Linked DNA regions of Drosophila melanogaster. The protein of the gene in region 2 interacts with the protein of the main gene of each other region in a pairwise test. Each region holds a gene or a part of one and is shown on either strand. Other genes may lie near its edges.

What was found. The genes of interacting proteins can lie anywhere in the genome.
Region 1: the proteins of lmd (region 2) and CG13775 interact in a two-hybrid assay, tested with the Drosophila melanogaster proteins (one large-scale study listed by BioGRID).

Annotation. Positions count from the first base shown.
Region 1 is NT_033779.5:6,953,857-6,960,253, forward strand, and holds CG13775 (uncharacterized protein), read right to left. Parts: upstream 3,095-6,397; 5' UTR 3,017-3,094; coding exon 2,762-3,016; intron 2,488-2,761; exon of another isoform or gene 2,452-2,487; intron 2,364-2,451; coding exon 1,401-2,363; intron 1,347-1,400; coding exon 729-1,346; 3' UTR 599-728; coding exon of another isoform or gene 537-598; 3' UTR 501-536; downstream 1-500. Other genes in the region: SA1 (stromalin 1), read left to right, coding at 1-471, 537-598; CG3430 (uncharacterized protein), read left to right, coding at 3,242-4,431, 4,490-4,733, 4,800-5,183; Atac1 (Ada2a-containing complex component 1), read right to left, coding at 5,327-6,397.
Region 2 is NT_033777.3:23,018,918-23,029,844, forward strand, and holds lmd (lame duck), read right to left. Parts: upstream 7,797-10,927; 5' UTR 7,535-7,796; coding exon 6,020-7,534; intron 5,652-6,019; exon of another isoform or gene 5,505-5,651; coding exon of another isoform or gene 5,493-5,504; intron 5,005-5,492; coding exon 4,843-5,004; intron 3,563-4,842; coding exon 2,639-3,562; 3' UTR 2,305-2,638; downstream 1-2,304.

The sequences.
Region 1 (6,397 bases), on a different chromosome or scaffold from region 2:
TCGCTATGACGCTCCTTTTGAGCCTGATCACAGTCTTTAAGAGTCTGCAGGAGCAGAGTGAGGATGGCATAGTTTCAAAGAGTTCGCAAGAGTTTGTGGACCTCAAGGAGTTGGCCAAGCGATTTGCGCTCACATTTGGTTTCGATGCCATCAAGAATCGCGAATCTGTGGCCGCCATTCATCGTGGTGGCATTTATTTCGCTGCGAACAAGGAGCCAGATGATCCGGTGCGGGCTCCAACTCGCTTGCTCTTCCTGGAGGTTTTGAACGAGTTCAACTACAAGCTACTGAAGCAAGACAAGAAGGTCATAATGAGCTTTCTGGACAAGATAATACCACCCGCAATGCCATCCAGCCGAGCTGAGGAATGGCAGCCGCTGATATTATATCGCAATTCCTTGCTACATGGCGAAACTGATCAAGCGCCCGTCGCCAGCAAACGAGCCTACACACGTAAACGTCGAGATCATGGTAAGAATTTCATAGCTTTCATTTTATTTAGAATCAACATTATGAAAAACATGTTTTTAATTTAGATGAAGAAGAGGAGGAGGAGGAAGACGAAGAGGAACACAATGATCCTGATTACAGGGGCTAGGACCCATCAGGCAATCAGCCATACACGCGGCTTAAGTGCAAAATCTAATTTTCCGGAAAATCAAGTAGTTGTAAGATTAAAGCTAATATTATGTACATAAATACGTTTAAATTATATAAATTACTGTATCCTAATTGATTTCCGAATTGCTAAAGCTAAAGTTGGCCTTCATGAGCAACATTTTGGATGCACTTTCGGGGCTCAAGCCCGCCTGCATGTCGAAATACAAGTGCGTTGATTTTCTAAATAAGCCTTCACTAACCACACTTGCTGCTGGTGCTGATAAGAATTTCCTAACAATGCCATACAAGGATATGTATTTTATGTTGCTCCTCCACCAAATCAGGGGATCCATGTTCCTATCGATTCTGGGTTCGGAGTTGTATAGATATAGCAGATTCTTAATCTGAGACTGGGAGCCCATTGACGTATTTGGCTGTTGAGTGTTCGTCGTTCCAGTTGTCAGTATGCTATCCAGAATGCTATCGATCTTTGATTCATTCTTCTGGGACGATGTGGATGACACTTTGATTATTTTCAGCGGTGGCTGACCATTGCAATCCTCTGGCACTCCAGCGAGCTGAAGCAGAACTTCATTGGCCACCAACTGCTCCTCACGTTCGGTGAAAAATGCTTGCTTATATCTCGGATCCAAATATGTGGCCATCAAAAAGTTGATGTCGCTAGTGATGTGGGCGAACTTCATTTCCAGTTCTTCAAGCAACTTTCTGGCGAAACTGCATATAGTCTAGACATTCGAAATATTAGACAATACTTTATGGTTTTATCTACTGCAACTTACCACAGATGAGACAAAGTTATGGACATCTGTTCGGAGGGAATCCCGTAAAGCGGCAACCAGCGGGATTACGGATGAGGTGGTCGTAGATGGATTGCTCCATATCTTGATTGTTTCTTCACAAGGCTGCATTACTTTGCTGCACAAATCGATCTCTATCCATTCATCTGGATATATTTGGACCAGACTATACTCTTCGCAGTACAAGGATAGAGCATCTTTCATTCGAAACACGCTGCTCATCATCTGAAAAGCGGAATTCCATTGACAGGGATCGTAAGGTGTAAGTGTGCACGGGTCTCGCGTCAAGCGGATCTCTTGAATGAATTTCAGATGATCGTTGGCCATCTTAGACGACGCAAAATGGTCAACTATTTGCTTGCACTTGGATGAAAGGTTCTGCAGTAATTCGTTCGATTGCAAAGCAAATCGAACGCACATCTGCAGGCGGTGCACACTGCAATCGGGCAGGGAACCTGGCAGCGCCGTCATCTCGTCCCTGATTACGCAGTGTATCTTCTCTTTGGGCACCTCAATGGCCAAGCTGGGCACAAGATCTCGAATGCAACAAGCTAGCTTCGAAGTGCTTTCGTAATTCAGAGCCTCGCATTTCAGCATTAGGCGGTGAGTCTGAAAATCCCTTGATATTCCGGAGCAGGACAAGCTCAGCAGTCCTTCGCCTTTGTCACCACGCCAGAGACTCGTAGACAACGATATGGCATCCAGCAGATCCACCTGTTGCTTCAAATGCTGATGCATTTTCCTTTGTATATCCTCGCACAGTATCTTCTCATAGTAGCTCCTTGGTTGAATCGTGTACCGCGGCTGCAGCGTCCTAATGAAATTTACGAATCCTGGTCCTTCAATGAACTCAAAGGAGTGATTTAGTAGCATGAGGGCCAACTTCTCATCACAGCGTTTGCTGTAGGATATATCCTCGGTGTCCAATGGATCTGAATCTGTTTCCTAAAATGATTAATAGAATAATTTAATGCATCAGATTAGTGAAAAACGCATAATTTATAAAAATATAATACTAAGACCATAACAGTACATTTTTAAAACCTCCTTAACTACACTTTATAAACACAACACATGTTTGCCGATCTAGCCAAACGCGGATAAAAATCCGCATCCGCTGTTGCTATATTAGTAAAAAGTTTTAAATAAGAGAAGGCATAAATTACTTTATGAACTACCAAAGAAACTATATTTGAATGGAAACTTAAGTTTGGGGAAACCATCTCCACATGACAGAATATCTAGAAGGGCATGTACCCCGATTTCACATAAGGTACACTTCTTGCACAGTACATATGCATGTACATAGGTATGTATGCACATCTATATGCTATCCCACTTACGTGCAGATTCAATTCTAGCTGGGCTGTGGGGTGCTGTGGCGAACCGATGGAGATCTCGCTCTTAACCAGGTCCAGGTACTTTATGTCCCCGGATAGAGATAGGAACTCCGGTGGGTGCTTGCTCTTCAGATGATTCCGCAGACATGTTGTGCCGCGTCCTCGCCTCGAGTAGTTCCTGTTGCACAGCAGACAGGTGGCCACTGTGCCGGATGTCTTGTAGAAGTACTGCCACACATTGCTTTTCTTCTTGCTCATCGCTGCAATTCTTTGGTAATTCTCAAATTGTACATTTTTTGCGGATGTCCACATCCGCCTCTACATCCGTTCTGCGGCAGAGTTCGACATCCCTGGCAGATATCGATAGGCCCATCGATGACCATCACTAATATGCTGCAATCAGTTTTTGGCGCGCCAAAGCAGCTGTTGTTTTTTGCATTCGAGGTTTTTGAGGCATTTGCAAATTCATTCGTTAACTAGATAATGCCCTGTGCGATGGAGCTGCCCAGCACGCCCGATGAACTGGCCGCCCAGCAAGCGGACAGCGCTGCACTCAAGGACTTGCTCAAGGATCCCAGTCGTTGGCACTCGATTCCCCTGCTCAACTACACGCCTCTTCACAAGCTGAAGGATCAGACTCTGGTGCGCTTTCGTGGAATGATCCAGGACATGATGGACCCAGAAATCTATCTGGAGCGCTACGAAGTGAAATCCGCCGACGGCAGCAAACGTGTACAGGAAGGAAAGTACAGGGACTGCTTGAAAATAGCCAATGGCGAAGTGATTGACTACAACGCCGATGGAAACGTGCATGGAGAGAGGCGTACCATGTTCGTGGTCTCTGTGCCTGGTCTGAACGATTGGAGCAAGGAGCATGAGAAGCTGTGCTGTCCCCAGATCGATTTGGCCAGTCTGGGTCAATCTCCCAGTTCAGCCAAGAAGCGGACTATTGTAGGCGAAGAAGAAGCCATGGATGTGGACGTTGCGAGCGAAACAACGTTCAAGCGACCCTGCCTAAAAGAGATTCAAAAAGATAGCGAGCCAGTCGGCGCCTCCAAATCCTCTGTTCTTGGGTCTGATTACCTGATTAACTCGCCTCTGCCGGATCGTCCCAGCATGGCATGCATGGTAAAGGTTTACGAGGAGTTCGATACCTACCAGCTTAACTCGCTGGTCGACTTTGTGGGCTTTCTGTCAGTGGATGCTTCACTAGACGCCGCTACCCTGGAAATAGACGATTGTGAAAACTTGAGTGAACTGCAGGCAGCTCATCCATCGCCATTTCTTATACCCCGCCTGCATGCCTTCGGAGTCCAGGTGCTGCCGCATGCCAATCCGCTGCTGGACAAAAGCCTTCGACAGCCAACGGAAATATGTGAGGAGACGTATCCAACCCACCTTGCTGTGCACAAAGATCTGCGCATGCTTCTTAAACTCTGCCTCTTTGATGACGATCTGGCTGCCGAGTATTTGCTCTCCCACCTAATATCTACGGTCTACAGTCGTTCTGAGATGCAGAGCATCGGCAAGTTCGCCCTTAACCTTTGTAATCTCCCTAAGAATTGTGAGGCGTATGCAACCAAGTTGTATCAAATTCTGGAGCTGCTACTGCCGGCCAGCCATTACATGCCCATGACTCTCGTCACACTAAACACGGCAGCCTTTGCCCCAAAGTAAGTTGGCTAAGCAGAAATAGTATAAAATTGAATACCTATTAATGAGTACTTGCAGGAAGGATTATGAGACAAACAAGCTGGTTTCCGGCGTACTACAGTTGGCTCCCCATACGCATTTGGTGCTCGACGAGACGTGCATGCAACAGGGCAAGCTGGAGGCCAATGGTGTTCATGCCGTTCAGCATTTAGCGCACTTGATCAATAATCAGGAACTGAAGTGCGACTTTCAGTATTACCAAATAGACTACCAAGCAAATATTCCAGTTCTCGTGCTCAGTGAAGGGCGAAGTATGTTGCCGGTAAGAATATAAGTTTATATAAATAATCATTATATCCAATAGAAACTATTAATGATATGTTTTCAGAGCGATTTTGTGCTGCCCATTAATGCCGATTCTAAGGCCGTGGAACTTGTTGATGAATCTCTAAAGGCAGCCCACCACTATCTGCAGCCATCACGTCTGCAGCAGTTTCGCAAGTACTTGACCACAGCGCGCACTAGCGGCTTCAACGTGAGCGAGGAGCACACTGAAATGATCCAGCAGGATTTCGTGGACATGCGTAAAGCTAATGTCAAAAGTAATGCCGATGATCTGCATGGATTGCTGGTCCTCTCACGGCTGCTGGGCATCGCCCGGGGGAAGGATACGTTGGACAAAGAAACATGGCAGCTGGCTACGGAGTTCGAAGCAAAGCGTCGCCAGCGTATTCAATCTCTGCCGAAATCATCTGCCCAATTGCGCAATTAAGAGGGCCTCTCTTTTATACCATTTAATATTAAGTTTTTATAAATAAAATAGAATTTTTTAAAATTATTCTCTTTATATTTAATTTGTAGCTTTACAGGCAAGTCTAGTAATTTAGTACTCAAGTAAATGGGACTCTAGGAGCGTCATGACTCTTGGTCCACTACAACTTCATGACTTAAATGCTCGAAACGCCCTTCGATTAGCTGACTGGCCAGGCAATCTCCGCACAGATTAAGGTAACAATAACAACTGTTACAACGCCATTGGGTCCTGGTCACAGATGCCTCTTCGCACTCGGCACACTTGGCGGCCAGCAAGTCTGGCTCATATCCGTCCTCCATTTCCCGTTTCTCGTCCTGAATGGCTGATAGAAGCTTAAGGCATAGTTCCTGTTTTCGCTTTGACTCCGCATTCAGATCGGCATCCATGTACTCGGATTCGATCTTTGGTTCGATCTTGGATGCCGGCATAAGGAGCATATCGCTCGCAGGCGATGGGATTCGCAGGTCGTCAAATGTGAAATCGTCCTCTGGCATTTGTAGCGATATATTATGAGCGGGGAAGAAGGTTGACTTGCGAAGTTTGATCTTCGGCTTACTCAAACCAGGACGTCGATGCTTGGGTATGCGACCGGGCACAGGCATTCCGGCATCGTGCAGCTTTTGGAAATACTTCTGGACACGACTATACACTTGCTGTGCCGTTCTGTTGCCCAAGGCCTTCGCTATCTTCCCGAATCTGCGCATTTCCACTTCCTCTGGCGGATACTGGATGAGCAGCTGCTCCAAGCGACTCTGCTCTTCGTTGGTCCACAAGCGATTGAAATTCTCCGACCGTCCATTGCTCCTGTCCCGATTCTTGTTCGCCTCTTGCGTCCATGAAGACGCATCGGTCGGTGTCTCATTTGTGCCCCCTTCCTCGTCATTGGGCGACAGAGTTGGCAAGTCCGGTAGAACGGTCGTGGTGATGTAATTATCCGCTATCAAAGGCTCGTTGTTTCGCAGTTTGTCCAGCATATGTTGCGGATTCTCCAAGTAGATATTTTGTGTGGCTTCCAATTCCTCAATCTGCTGATGCACCCGAATCCTTTGTGCCTGCAGCACGGCCAAAGTGCGCAGCAAATTGGTATAGCACTGGTTGCCACGCAGGGCCAGGTGCTCGGTCTCAAAGTGAAACACATCCTCATCTTCTGCAGATATCTCTGCTATTTCCAT
Region 2 (10,927 bases):
TAGCTGCCATCCGCTCGTGTTCGCCGGCGCCTAGCCTAGCTGCACAGATTCCGCCCTTTAACCTCAAAAGCAAAAAAAAATTCATTTCAGATCCAACTAAAATCCGCACTCGAACAGAACGCCAGGAGCCAGCCAATGACCACTTGTAGCCCTCAGCGGGCAGTCCAGCAGTCATTTCGATGACCAGGCATCGAGGGTATTAGCGGGGTGTATTGGCACTGGGGATAAGTTTGAAGTGTGCATTGAAAATTCAACATATTAATCATTGTTAAAGCTATAAACCTGAACTTAAATGAAGTTTCTTTAGTTTTATGAGCTCACTCTCTTTGGCCACAAAGTTAGCACAGTGATAGCTCACTTCTAGTATCTTTTTGTGAAATCAAGTATACGTACTTAACTCAATTTTTGTATAATCCCTTTAAAAATGCGGCATATCCTTCGCCACAGTGTGTGTCTGTGAATACTTTTGTAGTCGGGGTAGTAGTAATAGAGAGTAAGCAAGCAAAAAAGTCAAAATCATGCCTTTGCTCATGTTTTATGTGGGATATTCCGTTGTGTTCTGCTGGGCTGCTTTTAATTGCTTTACATTTTTGTTTATTTTGTTGACGCTGTCCCTGCCGTTCTCTGTGCATGTATGTGTCCGTGTGTGTCTGTATGTGTTTATGTCCTTGTCTGTGTTTGCGGGCTGTAATGAAGACCCGTGTCGGTCTGCATATTAACTGGAACACACTTGCAGCATTTTTAAATGCATAGTGCACCACCCGCCGCCCAACCACCAACTGAACCACCAGAAACACCCGCCCTAAGCATTTTAGGGCCGTAGTTGGACAGCGAAAACAGAAACGAGTCATGGGGATGGCCAAGAGCGGCGGGTTTTTTTTGGTGGGTGGAGGGGAGCGGGTGCGGGAGGTAGAGCTTGCGGCTGCGGCAAGTAAATTTGCGCACGGCTTTCATTGTCTGTCATAAGCATAAATGGTTATTAATATTAAAGTTCATAACGGGCCATGTTAACTGCTCATTTAACGGGACCATCCTTCTGGCCACTTTATTTTTGCCTGACTGCTCCGCCCGCCAGCCAACCAGCCACGCCCTCCTGGCAGCATCCGCCCCCCCGTTTGCTCATTGATATGTCGGCAGTTGTTTACACATTTACAGCCCGCTGTGCACCACAACCATGGCCATTTGCAACCAGTTAACGAAAGAGGCCATTCGAGCCTTATTAAGTCACTAAAATTGCATCGACAGTGCAACATTTCCACTTCCCACTGGCCACTAGCATCAAGTCAAGGTTTAAGGCTTAACACGATCATTTTTAATGAGACACAGAACAGGCTCCATTGGCGGTAATTTCCAATATTACATGATGCTGGGTATATTTTAAATCAAATTAGGGGAATGTGCCACTGATTTAACCCATTTCTATATATGCGCTGAACTTAACGTACCACTGACCCCGAATGAACTGCAATCCGTGCGCAAGCTGAACACAAATTAATTTAAGACTTAAGCCGATTTTTATGAATTGTATATGGATGCAATGCAAATTAATTCGATATATGTAAACAAATAAATGAAAAACTGAGAATGTGTTAAAGGCGAATAATAAATTAACTATGTGCACACATACATGCGACGCTCTGGCGTTGTAAATTATTTTTTGAATGCACAGCAATTAAGTAAAGTCAGACGGGCAAACATGAAACGGAAATCCCAGCATGTTGTGCATGTCTCTGTGTCCGATTTTCCACAGAAATGGCCAGGTGTGAGATATATAATCGGAATCGAATGGATAGGCGTAATCACGGAGCGTTAACAGGAATTATATATACCGGCGGGGACTTAAAACTGGTTTTTATCGTCACTCAAAGGGTTAATGGACATGGGCATAGGGCATCCTGAAGGTATTCCAAATTGAATTATATTCTAAAATTACTGCACGGTATTCTCAGAGAGAATGCTATAGTCGAGTTTCCGCCTATCAGATACCCGTTACTTAGCTAATGTGAATGGCCATACATACTTTTCAACGAATCTAGTATACCCTTTTACTCTACGAGTAACGGGTAGAAAAAGCCATTAAGTTAATCTTATTTTGAAACACAGATCTCCAATAAAAAAAACACTCGTTAAACTTACACTTTTATGAAGCATCGCTTTAATTTGCTTTAATCCAATTCATTAACATTGCCCACAATCTATCATTGACTTTTTTGTGATCCATACATTAGCATGTTTTGCCAAGTAATTAAAATGAATATTTAAATAAAATTAAATATTCAAATGCAGTTGGTAAGAAAAAAGTATGCAAATTAAATTATTTATTGCGGCCAATAAGTTTGTTGACAAACTTTAACAATCCAATTACAAGTAGTACTTAGCCGAGACTATTCTAATTAAATATATACGATTGGGAAGAGTTTGGGAAGACGCGACTAATCACTGGATTGTGTTTTCAAATTCAGGAACGTTTCTTTTGGCGAGACTTAATCCACTACTTAACTATAGTATATATACAGGCGTGTAGACTTACTTAATGGTAGGCATTCTTATAAGGGCTCAGGCACTGAGATCTTTGGGCATTGAATCGCTGACTTTTCCAGTTGGGGCATCTTTAATTGGTTCTAAGGACTAAGCTAACTTAAATGAACTGCGGGAAGTCCAGCATGTCGAAGCTGTTGTCAAATTCGGGCTGCAAATGGAAATTAGCCGGGGGCTGTGGGCTTTTGCATTGCGGCTCGTAGACATCCGTCAGATACTTTGTCACGTACTCGAACGACACAAACTCGCTCAAGTGGCATTTGCTGTCACCATTGGCGCGGCCATTATTGTTGGCCAGGCTAATTCCATTAGCAGATGCGGCTGGCGTACCTGTGGGCTTCGCCGTCGTCAGCAATTGCTCGAGTTCGCTTAATTGATTAATATTCGCATTGTAACGGTTATTGTTGCTGTTACTGTTACTGCTGCCGCCACCGCTGCAAACGCTCAGCACTTCCGTTTCCGGTGCGGGCGCCATGTTGCCATTGCCATATGTTGCTGTTGCCGTTGTTGTTGCTGTTGCGGTTGCCAGTGTTGCAGGTCCTGCAGGACCTCCGCTCTGATTGTGCTCGATGATGACAATGCAATTTGACAACTCATTAAAGTTCATTGAATTGTTATTAGCTGCAACACCGGTGCCGCAATTGCTGCGGTCTGTCGTCCTTTCGTTTTCTGGCTGATGCTGCTTCTGCTGCTGCTGCTGCTGTTGCTGCTGCTGTTGATGCTGCTGCAGCAGCAATGCCTCGCTGCAACTATTGCTGCGGTGTTGTCGCTGATCCCCCGGAGCACTTGGCACGGCCACGCCCACGCCCGCACCCACGCCCCTTTGCACCAGTGCCGACTCGGAGTGACGGCGTGTTTTGGCCGCCTTCTTTGGACCGGAGGGCGGTACGGAAGCGCCGCCGGCAGATTTGCGGCGCAGCTGTCCGTTGGCGTTGCGCAGCGCGTGGTTCTTGACATGTTTGCGGAGGCTGGAGGGATCCGTGTAGCGCTTGGTGCATCCAGGCAGCTGGCAGGCATACGGTTTCTGTACCAAATAGAGCGAGAATCGATAGAGCGTTGCGTTAGTACTGTAGTATTTGCCTCAGATGCGAGTTCGCATCAAACCGCAGCGGCTCAGTGCCGATGCCGAAAACTATGCAATTGATTTCTCCCATTCGCCCTGCAGGCGCTCCTAACTCACTCACACTCACACACCCGCACATGGCACACACACACCCATGCAAACGTTCACCAGCTAACAGATGGGCCAGCGTATTTGCCAAGTCAAATCGTTTTGAAATGTCATGCTGCATTTTGTTTATTCTGGCCAGGCAGCAGCCGCTGGCCGAAAGCGACAACAGCAAGGGGCAGTGCACTCGAAAAAGGTTCATTATTAACATGGAAACTGACATTTGTCTTGGACAAATGGAGCTTAAAGCTTAGAAATTAATCAATCGTTTTAGTTTTATCAAAAAAAAGTATACCTACTGCATAAATATATGCACTGCAATAACTATGAAAACTATCTAGGCATTTCCAAATAAAATGTAGAGAGCTACTAAAAAGTGAAGAATTTCTTTTTGAAACACCAATTTTTCTGAGTGTGTCGCAAGCATTGGCAGCCGCGCCAGGCCAACACACATTGTATCCTTTTGTGATCCTGATTGGCTGCCCTGCCCCTTCAGCTAGGCAACGAAAGTAACTCGTTTAGTTTATTCGATTTGCCTGCCGCGGTTGTTGCTGTTGTTGCCTGCTGTTCTGGCCATTGCTGCTGGCTGAATCGCTGGCCTTTTCAGCTGGTTTTGACCTTTTTTCCGGTTGTCGTACGCGCTGACGCGGCTGCTGTTAGTCCCTGCCTCTGTACTCCTGCCCCACCGTACTCCCTTCCGTATTCCGATTGCGATTCCTATTCGGATTCGTAGTCCTATTCCAGCTGCTGTTACTTTGGCCATCGGCCACCGCTCGCTCTCACAGATACAGTACACACGCAAAACTATAAATCACTCAGGCAGCGAAATGCGAAATGTGCACATGTCATGCTGGCAGCAGCAACAGTGGCTCCTTCGACCATTTCCTTTTTCTTTTTTTTTTCTGCCACTCTGAGCTCCTGTTTGGGCCGCTAAGCGCCTTGGAGTCCATTAAATCTTAAAGCCGCTTCACGCTCGTCGGGTGAAGCCCCAGCTGCATCTTTTGCAGCCGCGAGCTCTTCAATTTCCTTTTGACACGCACTGCAAATTGCTGGGACCCCAGAGAAGAGGCCAACCCATCCCGGCACCGCCCACGCATTCAGCCGCACTCATATGCATAGCATATAGGGATACTCACCGTATCGTAGTGGGTCCTTTGATGTTTCGCCCGATCCGAGCTATTGCTGAACGCTTTGAGGCAACCTTTATACTGGCAGCCATAAGGCCGCTCGCCCGTGTGCGAGCGTTGATGAATTTTCAAATTTTCCAAACGCGAGAATGCTTTATTGCAGCCGGGAAACTGTAATGGAAAAACAAAAAGGTGGAAAGGTGTCATCGAAAATTGCAATTACCAAGGGTGGGAGGGAAGGTGTTTTTTTTTTTTTTTGCAAGGAATGGCGCAAGGGATAAAGCAAGAGGATGAGGCACTGGAAGGACGCATAAAATTGTGACCTCGCAGCAGATGCTGTTACTGTTGCCGCTGACGCCCGCAGGTGTTGCACGTAGTAGCCCCGCCCACTCGCAACACTCGACCACTCCACCTGAAAAGGGGCAAATTACGTTTTTGCAACAGAAACAGTAAGAGAAACCGAAACAGAAACAGAAACATGTGTAATGGCAAATGGCAGCTGGAGCAGCATCAGTGGGCCAAGTTGATGATGCCCGAGCCAATTTAATCGAAAAAAAAAATCCTGCAAGAATCCATCAATTACTCAAAAATCAAAACGAAAGAGCATGGCAAAGGGCAGGGATAGAAGATGTAGCGAGTGTTGGCCCTAATAACATTACCAGCAACTCCATTTCAAGTGGACTCCGGATTCCGTTCGGATACCGCCTCGCAGCTCTCGCCTCGCCCTGTCAATTTCTGTGATTGCCCTGCGCCGCACAATTCATCATCCCAGCGATGGCGCATCAAATGTCAACACGTGCACGATACCATACCATACCATACCATACCATCCAACGATGCCACACAAACAAAAAGGAAAGCGAAACGCACAAAATGGGATCCTACGGCGGAAAAGTCGTGTTTGGACGCATAAACAAATGCGTTCAGCTGCGGCCAGGGGGAAAAAAAAATGGATAAAATCCAAATCTATTGTTTGATGTTTGAAAAATGATATTCTATGAGGGATTGAAAAGGTTGGTAAACAGAGAGAAAATATACACATGTATCTCAATCGATGGATTCCCGAACAGAGTTGCCATTTTTCTTCTAAACAAAAAAAAAAATATTCTACAAGGAAATCTCCGAACTAGTCAATGGGGTCAAATGGGTTTTGGTCCTGCATATAGAGTCATCTTTTCATCCTTACCGGACATTTGTTGGGCTTCTCGCCGCTGTGAACTCGCATGTGGATGAGCAGCTTGTAGCGGGCATTGAAGGGCTTGTAGCGCCTGGGGCAGTCTAGCCAGAAGCAGGAGAAGTCCTCGCCCTTGCGCACATCCACATGGCACTTCTCGATGTGCTCGACGAAGGCCTGTTGGTGCGGGAACTCCTCGTCGCATCCCGTCCAGCGGCAGATGAGTGGGATGACCTCATTCTCTGGCTCCGCCTCGGGATCACAGCAGGTTGAATCCGGCTTGGGATCACTTTCCGCCGGTGGGGCAAACACGTCATTGTCCAGGTCATCCTCCTCCTCGTTGTAGTTCTCGTCATCGTCACTGTCCAGGCTCCGGAACTCCTCGGCCTTGATGAACTCATCCGATAGATAGTTGACCAGATCGTCTTTGCAGTTCTGTGTTTGCTGTTCCTGCCCATGTGGCTGATGCAGTTGCTCCTGCTGCTCCTGCAAGTGTTGCTGCTGCAGATGATGCTGAAGGAACTGCTGCTGCTCGCCCAACATCAGTTCATCCAGTTCATCGATGGTCCAGATGGCCTTGTGCTCGCGATTGGGCTTCTCGACGACCTGAGCCATATTGTTGTGGTAGTTCTCCGTGGAATACCCCGATCCCTGTTGGTAGAGATTCGCGTAATCCTCGTAGTTGCTGGCGCACATGGGAATGCATTTGGGAGTGCCGAAGGTGGAGTTCATCGATGGCAGTTTCGCCGGCGAGGCCTCCTCTTTGACCTGCTCCTCGAACACATTGCCCAACTTCGGGGATGCGGCACTCGATGATGCGGCCGCTGAAATCTCGCCGAGATTGAAGTTCAGCCAGGCGTCGAGGTGCGGTGATGAGCACGGTGACTGGTTTTTCGATTGGCAATTAATCTCGTCGTAATTAAAATAATCGATATCCAGATTAATGGAGTCATTCGCCGGCTGCACGGCATACTGACTATTCTGTGCACTGCACGGTGTGTAGGGTGTGTAAGGGGTATATGGGGTATATGGCGTCTGTGGATGTTGCAACATGCCGGGCAGTTCGGACTCGCCAGTCAGACGCGCTATGTCCTCCGGTTCGAAGCGGAAGATATCCTCGCGATTCAGTTGCGTGTACTGTCCCTGCTGATAGGGCATGCCCGTATTTTCCGCCGCTGCGCAGACAATGTCATCCTGATCCGAATCCTGCTGCTGATCCTGGCCAGCATAGTTGTGACAGTCGCTGAACACGGAGTTCGGTGTCTCGGCGGCAAAGCAGAGGTGTGAAAAGTCCGGAAACTGCAGCTCACCGCAGGCGTAACTTTCATTCGTTTCCACCTTGGCTCCCGGCACACGGAACATTTCCCGCTCCCCATTATTGGCCGTTATATTGGCACTCAGCGGAGGCGACATAAATCCGCCGTAGCAACTGGCCGCCTCCTTGCCAGAAATCGACGAAATACCCGAAATCGACGACGTCTTGACGTACATGCCGCCACTTTGGCTGGTCTTCAGCGAGGATGACATACTATATTTCGATGTCTCTGTCTCTGGTGATTTGCTGTCGTCCGTTCTTCTGGGCCGGCCGCTTTCACTTTCGCATTTCCGGCAGTTGTCTGGGAAGATTGCCAATATTTCTTCTTTTTTTTGTTTGTTTTTTATGGCCACCGAACGCGGGAAATCCCAAGAAAATCGAACACTTAAACACACACGTAAGTCGGAGGATTTTCTATGTATCTATGTAGTTCAACACTTGCGATGTTCACGCCACCGCGATCTGGCTGACAATAAACCGGAGAGCTGCTGCCGCACGATATTTAAACGCCCGGAACGGGATGTTCCACGGGTGTGGGAAGGGGAACGGAATCGGGAGCGGGTGCGGGTGCGGGTGCGGGAACGTGGAGCGTTGGATCCTGCCTCTGCCGCTGCCGCAGTTGACGCAGTTCTGGGCGATCTCTGTCCGCTTTTGCTTCGCCTTTGGCACGCACATGTGCTACCGCCGCTGCCGCAGTCAGCGCCGACGTCCCTCCACCTCACCCCTGGGGCAACCATCACTTTAGACCCCCTTCCACCATAGGTTTTTCCTCTTGTTTTAGTCGCAGTGCTGCCGTTGTGGTTGTTGTTCTTGTTAATACTGTTATTTTAGGCTTATGTTTGCGTATAGAAATTATGCGTAAGCTACAACGAGTGCCCTGTGGAAAATGGGAGCAAAACGTAGAAATATGAAAGTAAAATGTAACAGAAAAATATATAATTCAATTTATGGGGATTTTTCAACAGTAATTTACTTTTTATATTCTCAATAAATTCATATATTAAGACTGAAATTATGCATTAGTAATCAAAATGCATGTAAAAAGTAGTTAAAACTTTTGAGCCGAAAAATACAGTTGAATTTGTTTTCTAAGTTTTGTTTTACTAAGACAGACTAGATTTACTGCTAAAACTTCTGAATATTTTTTATATATTTTTAATATATATTTCAAGTGCTTAAAACCGACCTATTTAGAGCATTCTACTTTGACATCCCATCGTCGCATTTTCCACAGTGCACTTGACCGTGGCAGTGTCGCTGTGCTCTGCGTTTTCGTGATCTGCTGTATCCTCAGCCCATTTCCTCGATCCAGCAGATTTCCCCGCCCATTTTCCATTCGCCAGCCGTGCTGCACTGTGCGATCTTGTTGTTGCACACATGGTGTGCAAGTGTGCGCTGCCCTTCTTCTTGTTTGTGTTGCAGTTGCAGCTAGGCTGTCGAATGTTTTAGCACTATTTTTTATTGCCACATAATTCTCGTTCTTCTCTCCGTTTTTGCTACACCGAGTGGCGGAATTGGAATCACCAGGCGGGCGTAAGTACTGTACTACATACATGGGCTATATTTATTGTGGCAACTCATTTGCCAGTGCGACAAATAGCGCATGCACATCGCACACTCGCTTCTCCAGTGCATCATCGTGTAGAATGCAACTCAAAGATCGCGCTCTCTGTGCGCTATTTTTAGCGCAATTTAGCTCGTCCGCTAATGCCTGACAATATGTTTTTAATTTACGCCACAAAAATGCAATTGCAAAACTATTTGTTGTCCCCTCTCCAATGGCAGTGCTGTATATTGTCCTAGGTCCTCGAGTGCATTGCCCATTGTGGCTGCAATTGCGATAGTGACGTTTCCGGAGCATGAGTCAGTTTCCTTTCATCCACATCCATTTCCATGTCCCATAACCCATTCGCTATCTCTTTTTTCGTTTTTTTTTTTTTTTTTTGTGGCCAACGCGGCACTTCATCATTAAATGATGCCATCTCCCTATAATCGCCATATATTTTTTATGATTTTTGGCAAGCGTCGCGATTTGGCGCACGTTCACCCGAACGCGATGATTGTGGGGTCGCTTCTTTTTTTTTGTTGTTTTGGGTCGTTTGGGGCTGCCGAATGGTTTAGATCGGCTGCGATGGTCTGGTCTGGGCTGGATGAGGTTGGCATAGGTTGGCAGCTGCCCCTGCCAGGGGGCTTCTGTTCTCGGCCCGAAACGCGTCAAGTCAATTCAGAAACGTTTAACACACAATTCCTGCCACTTGCGCGCTCGTCATTTGCGAATCGGTCGGAGGGCTGGCCAAAAGATTGGGCTGCTGGCCAAAACTGTGCGGCCACCGCCTTTGTTGTCGCACGATTGCGACAACTTACATCATTCTTAAAATTAGGCGATTTTGGCAGCACTTTTTCACGTCGAATGCACTGCGAGAAAAGTAGTATGTAGGGTGAGAAAAAAATTAGCTGCACACAGAAGATTTAAGGCAGAACACAAACTTTACCAATTTCAATCCATTCTGATAGTTCAAGTAACATAATATCATATTGAAAAGTACATTTTGAAATTCTTTCGAGTGCATCCTAGTCGCGTTTCTGGCCAAGACCTATAGACCTGATGCCAATGCGAGTTGATGTTTTTATGAGTGGCGATGACGCGCGGCGACGTTTCTTGGTTTCTTGGGAAAACACTCGACCATTTCCGCTGGTGATTATCAATTTTCCCAGATTTAAGGTAATTTTTCTTGTGCGTGGGCAGCGCTGCGCTGTCGTCCAATTTATGATTTGTCTGGCCCAAGATTCGATTTCAATTAAATGCTCAAATGAATCACTCACTATCGCCTGGCGTGTTTGTATGAGCCAGCGAAAAATGTTTGATTGGAAAACCAGGCAATTAATTAGCTGCAGCAGCTTGAATGACCCTTGTGCCCTGCGTCGAGCGACGGTGCATGTGTAAACATTATTTCGATCAGATTGTAATATTCCTTTGGCGCAGTGCAACAAATAAGCCGCAACATTAATGGATACACTCGAATGGCGAATGTTTGGTTTGGTCAACTTCGGTGGGTGGAAATTATGCGGCATGCCAGCAAATGGCTTTAATGAAAAATCGTAAATAAAAGCGTGAGCGAGCAGGAAAAAAAAAGCGCACTTAATAAAATTTATTTGTTGCCAAGTAATGAGACGGCGCGGTGTCGATTTGTTAATGAAATTTTTAACTTTATGCTTTCCGCTCTCCGGTTCCGAGGATAAATAAATGTACGTAAATATATACTCGTACACTCGTGTATTTTTTCTCGTTGAGGGTACTATATGTCGACTGGGTTCATAAATTTGTCAATGATTTTCCACTTGACAATGCTGCAAATGGTCTCGTTTATTTACTCCACATTCTCCATCAAGTGAGCCGCTGATGTGGCAATGGGTCGCCCTTTTGGGATGGCACTACCACAGTCTCTACTACAGACCATATCTGGGGTAATTCTGGTTGTTGCAACTATAGGGAATGGTTATTGCTTTTGTTTATTTCCAATCACAGACATCATGTGTGCGCTTTGGATTCGGGACTGTCTTTAAATAAATAAATAAAGCGTCGGGGGAAGGGGTTGAGGTTGTGC